2 linked regions of the Kluyveromyces lactis genome follow. Each later gene encodes a partner of the first gene's protein in a complex. Links are inferred from orthologs where the notes say so. Each region holds a gene or a part of one and is shown in the gene's direction. Other genes may lie near its edges.

The links.
Region 2: RPA49 (region 1) and RPB8 share a complex: the UniProt entries of both Saccharomyces cerevisiae proteins name them as parts of the RNA polymerase I (Pol I) complex. The link is inferred for Kluyveromyces lactis from reciprocal best matches to the Saccharomyces cerevisiae genes RPA49 and RPB8.

What each region holds. Positions count from the first base shown.
Region 1 is NC_006039.1:266,160-269,555, reverse strand, and holds RPA49 (DNA-directed RNA polymerase I subunit RPA49), read left to right. Parts: upstream 1-1,346; coding exon 1,347-2,585; downstream 2,586-3,396. Other genes in the region: KLLA0_C03003g (uncharacterized protein), read left to right, coding at 1-241; JJJ3 (Jjj3p), read right to left, coding at 399-887; MPA43 (Mpa43p), read left to right, coding at 2,801-3,396. UniProt on the Saccharomyces cerevisiae protein: DNA-dependent RNA polymerases catalyze the transcription of DNA into RNA using the four ribonucleoside triphosphates as substrates. Component of RNA polymerase I (Pol I) which synthesizes ribosomal RNA precursors.
Region 2 is NC_006040.1:610,584-613,237, reverse strand, and holds RPB8 (DNA-directed RNA polymerase core subunit RPB8), read left to right. Parts: upstream 1-1,698; coding exon 1,699-2,136; downstream 2,137-2,654. Other genes in the region: putative iron-binding protein ISU2, read left to right, coding at 348-890. UniProt on the Saccharomyces cerevisiae protein: DNA-dependent RNA polymerases catalyze the transcription. of DNA into RNA using the four ribonucleoside triphosphates as substrates.

The sequences.
Region 1 (3,396 bases):
TGCCAAGGTTAAAAATCGGGAGGAGATAAAGAAAGGACTGTATCAAGACTTTTATTACGGACCTGGTGACGGTGTTGTACATCACAAGTGGTTACTTCCAGAAAAATGCGGCTTTCCTATTGTAGCAAAGATAGCTAGCGAAATGCCACATGTAAGCCTCATGACAGACTTTGAAGCTATCTCTAAAGCCTTCATTTCCATATTGGACGCTGAGCAAACAAATACGGAGAAAGAACCGTAAAAATCTAGATACATTCAGTATGCTTTTTGACGTGGCTCTTAGTATGCATAAGTAAAGAAACATACCTGTAAATAGTGTGAATTTTTCATGACACAATAGATACAATATAAGGAAGTTCTTCAGGTTTTAATTGTGAAAACATAATTGATATGTCACATCACTCTTCCATAACGTCAAATAAGACTTTCAACCATAGTGAACAAGCCGAACATTGCACCAATACGAAATATCCACCTCCCTCATAATCTATCGCATGTTCTTCCAAAGCATCTTCGGTTAATTGGAACCCATCAGTTATTTGACACCTGGGACAATTCATCGAAAAAGATTGTTCATCTCCGCTGTAATCGAACAGATCTAGAGAGAAAAGATCTAGACCATCACCTGCATTGTGAAAGCCAAGTTTCTTGAACGATTCAGCAAGTTCCTCATCATATTTTTTCCTCAAATCCTGATCAATGAGGGTCTGGTAAGCTTCCTGGATATCAGTAACAGAATGACTAGATGTATTGTTTCCGTTGGAATTATAATTCAATCCAGATTTATCAGGATGTGTTTCCAGTAACATGGCCCTATAAGCTCTTTTAATTTCGATATTACTGGCATCGCTTTCAATGCCCAAAATTTCATAGAAGGATCGTTGCATTATGATAACTGGATGTTCTGCTACAGAACCACTCAACTTGGTATAAGTGCTGACATAGCTTTTTGTTGATGTCTGTCAACATTTCAATGAAATATCAAAAGCTAACCTCATCGCCTCTAACAGAGCATTGAACGAAATACAACACAGAAATCTATGAAAAAGCAGGTTTAACATGCAGCAGAAAAAGTAAGGCGTCCTGACTAAGCTTGGTGTAACGAGGTACTATAAAAGGCATTTATTAATCTGGCAAACGGTCGAAGTTTCGTCTTTCCAACTCAATAATCCAATGGTTCGGTCACATGACTCTTGTTTCTTTTTCCTTGATCGAAAAATTTTTGGATATGCGATGAGATGAGATGTAAAGCATCGATCACAAACTATATTGGGAAATTAGTACATCATTGAAAGGTATCCCAAGGTCCGAAATAAGCTGACTGTGTAGTAACTAAGAGTGTGGAGATGGGTTCCAAACGTGCATTCACTGAGGTTGGTGTTTCAGCTTATCATGATGAACCATCTGTTGCTGTAAGTAGCTTCTTTAAGGGCTTCCAGGCACCAAAAGATACCACCTTCGAGCTATATAAGAACAAGAAGAACAGCGACAAATACGTGTTACATGGTGAAAACGATAGACTAGAATATGAAGGTCAGACTGACGATGATTTTGTTAATTCTTCTCAGTATGTTGTTGGTGTTTATGATGCCGCCACGAAGTCTGTAGAATTGTACAAGGCACCACTGGTATCCAGCAAGGTTCTTTCCAAATCTAGAAAGAACCTAATGGGACCTGACATTAAACAGGCTAACGTCCGTGCTGCATTGATGAGAAACGCTTTAGGTGAGGCGTTCGGTACTAAGAAGGCAAAGAAGGCCATTGCTGATATGGAAAGAAACCGTATTGATTCAGACAAATTGGTTGATTCTGCGATAGATATTGTAGACACAGTGAAGACTGCTTCGAAAGAACTGCCTTCAAAGGAAGAACTGCAAGAAACTGTATCTTCTGATAGACCAACTCCGTTGGCTGATTTAGACGCAACAGATGTGGAACAAATTTATCCTTTATACAACATAATACCCAAAAAGGAATGGTCATTTATTCGCGTTGGCAGTATCATGAAAGAGCAAGACCCAGAAAAGAGGCTAGAATATTTCCCATACACTAAATTTCAATATGTGGCTAACAAGTTGCCAACTCTAACACAAGCAGCACAAATGCAAAAATTGCAATTACTATATTATTTATCACTTTTGGCTGGGGTGTACGATAACAGAAGAGTTAACAACAAGACAAAATTATTGGAAAGAATAAACAACCCTCCAGATGCCCTATTAAATGGCATTTTGGAAAGGTTTACCATCTCTAGACCTGGTCAATTTGGTAGATCAAAAGATAAGTCATTCTTTATCGATCCACAGAGGGAGGACAAATTGCTATGTTATATTTTGGTAATTATTATGCATTTGGATAACTTCATTGTTGAAGTCCCACCTTTAGCTCAACAACTAAACTTAAAGCCTTCCAAGCTTGTCAGTCTCTTCAAAATCTTAGGTGCTACCGTTAAGGGTGCTACTGTAGCTCAAGCTGAAGCCTTTGGCATTCCAAAGTCTTCTGCCTCAACGTATAAAATAGCAACTTTGAAGGTACCATTCAAGCTACCAGAAATGATTAGAAGAGGTAAAGGGCCAAGAAGGTAGCTTATCCCTATGATTTAAGTAGAACATGCGTTTGTATAATACTTTTTTGCAATTGATCTACACTTCTTCAGAAATCTATTTTACTATATAAAGAAAAAGAATTATTCATCTCGTATTATCAACCTTCATCTTATAATGATCAACTAAAAGAATACAGAAAGTGATGGTATAATCGAGAAATTAGAACTTAAACATCATATATAGAACCTGTGGATATGCAAGATGTTGGGATAGGTGTCGATCTGGGATCTACCGAGTTTAGAATAGGTATTTTTGATTATTATACTGATAGCCTAGTCAAGGAAACGAAAGAAAAAGTCCCTTATTTTAGGCATGGAAATGGGATCATTACCCAATGTACCTCTGATATTTTAACTGCTGTAGAAAAAGCATTCAATACTTTATATATCCAGGAGTACAACATTTGTTCATTGGGTGTAGGAGCAACTTGTTCGATGGTGGTTGGGAAACAGAAAGATGAGAACTTAATTCCCTTCAATTTGATTCATGACAAGAACGGTAGATATCACGATATCATTTTTTGGATGCATTCAGCAGCTATAGAGGAGACGGAATATCTCAACAATATTACAGACGAATCAATCTTATGCCACTTCGGCGGGAAATTTTTCCCTGAAATGGCAATCCCGAAATTGTTGCACTTGAACAAATTATACAAAGACGATGGGCTGACAGTTCTCGATTTGCATATATGGCTATTGTGGAAAATTTCTCTCAAGTTAGGTCATAAGGAATTAATGCCAGTTCAAGAACCAAATTCAAATGGTATTGGACATGATGGTGAGCTATT
Region 2 (2,654 bases), on another chromosome or scaffold:
TACATAAGACAATACGAAACCGCTGTTAACGCTTGTATCCTCTGCTGCTTTGTCTTTTCTCCCCGTATCTTCTTTGTTCCTTCTCATTGTTTTTTTCTTTTTACACTTTTTCCCAGTTTACCACGCTTATGGAATATTTTGTATTAGAAATTTAAACTTCGACGCCTGGAATTTTGGATTTTTAAGAGTTTTATTATATATATATAAGAGTCATTTATTGTGTATATAATATGCATCACTGTAATTTTATAGCAAGAGCGAAGATCTTCAATAATCCAGATATTGAATCAAGGTTTAGTAGTTCAGGATAACAGATCAACATTCAAAACACATACACATAATTAAAAATGTTTAGAGGACAAATGTTTGCAGTACAGAGGATGGGAAGTGCACTAATGCACGGCGGTGGAGGCGGAACTAGAATAATCGGTGTAGCAGCTGCTAGAGCAACTGCTCCTACCGTCGGCTCTAGTCCTTCCATGGCCTCTGCTAGATTTTACCATCCAAAGGTCATTGATCATTATACAAACCCAAGAAATGTTGGGTCTCTAGACAAGAATTTGCCAAATGTTGGAACGGGTCTTGTCGGTGCCCCAGCTTGTGGTGATGTGATGAAATTGCAAATCCAAGTTAACGACGAAACAGGAGTGATAGAAAACGTTAAGTTCAAGACGTTCGGGTGCGGGTCTGCCATCGCTTCTTCTTCATACATGACCGAATTGGTCCGTGGGAAAACCTTGGAAGATGCAGCAAAGATTAAAAATACAGAAATCGCCAGAGAATTGAGTTTACCTCCGGTTAAATTGCATTGTTCTATGTTGGCTGAAGATGCCATCAAGGCTGCCATCAAGGATTACCAGGCTAAGAGACCTACAACACAGTTGAAATAGAGTGTTAGAGTTAAGAGTTAAATTAATTAGTTAATCTCTAATTTTCTTATTGCTTCTCCGGCTCAAACTTTCATTTGTCCATTGAATGGACTTTAGCATACTCGTCTTTCCCTTAATTCTTTTGGTTTGACTTACGATTTTCCCTCGCATTTTAACTCCACTACAAAGTTAAATCGAACACTATATTTTTCCGAATATATCATACAGTTTCTGAAAGCTATCTAGGAGAGCTAAATTCCAAGATTAGGTACTTCCATTTATCGTGCCTTATCAACTGCCCATGATTCGTAATTTTTTTTTTTTTTTGGCTACCCTTTTTTTTACAACAGTTGTTATCTAGTGTATAACTAACATGTAGGTTCATTCATCATTTGTATTATAATCATCCAGACTGTTCCGACAAGCGTTTCAACTAGTTGCAGAGTTGAGCGGACCGTCTCTCTGTATCCTGGATTCTTCGGACTTCTAAGGGATGGCAAATTGATTAGCGTTACCCGAAGTTGTTTCTTTTACCCGGACACATATTTTTTTCATGGGCAAGAAAAATCTTGAAAAATTTCGTTGTAACTCATCGCCTGAAGGAACAACTGAGAGACAGACAATCATATACATGTGATGCGCTTTCGATTCGGCTCACTGTAGATAGTCTCATATCAGCAGTGAAATTATTAGTTTGAAACCTTTCATACCCACTACAGACTCTCCGATAAGTTCCCTTCTTTTTCGTCTCTCATTTGTGTTCCTACTGGCCCACCGACTTTAATAACTAGAACCAACACAACAGTACTCTCATTTACCAACACACGTCATGTCATCGGCACTATTTGATGACGTTTTCACCGTTCAAGAAGTGGACACAGGAAGATACAACAAGGTCTCTCGTATTGAAGCTCAATCGACTTCACAAGAATCCTGTAAGTTAACATTGGATATCAACAGTGAATTGTTCCCAATAAAGACTCAAGATCAACTTGCAGTCATGATCACAACTTCTCTCCAACTTGACGGATCGGAGGAACCTCAGGGTACCTCTTGGAGAGCACCACCTGCTGGAACCAGATCTCTTGCAGATGATTATGACTATGTCATGTACGGAACTGCCTACAAATTCGAAGAAGTTAAGGGTAACAAGGATTTGCTTGCAGTATACTATTCATTTGGTGGCTTGTTGATGAGACTTGAGGGAAATTATAGACTTTTGAACAACTTGAAACAAGAAAACGCTTACTTATTGTGTCGTAAGTAAGAAATCTTGTGGGTACTATATATCATAGTCAAAATAGAAAACCGACAACTGTATAATAGACTTTCAGGTCAAAGCTCTGGTTCTTCACTCCTCCGGAAGCTACGGCCTTTACTTACACCTCTCCTCATATATTAATGCATTTTTAACTTTCCATCTTAGCTTCCTATCTTCAAACTGTTCTTACTTCCAGTCACCACAGCATAACGAAGTTGCTCTTTCTTTTGCTCGAGGATTCTTCAATTCTGTGCTTCTTTGTATAAGAGGAGATACCATAGAAACTGTTAAAGCCGTCTTTTTTCTCGAAAATAGAAAAGTTAGGATCCAATGACCTCAATAAATAGGGTTCGGCCATTGCCAGTTGATGGCAAAATATTCGAGACGGGCGTTGAAGGAGCATATTAGCAGTAGATATATAAATATAGAAGAAGGTCTATTTTGTTAGGTTACCCATATACAGGGGTTATTAGTGTTCAATCCATATTTTTTTTGATTCTTTGGCGATAGGCAAGGGTGCATTA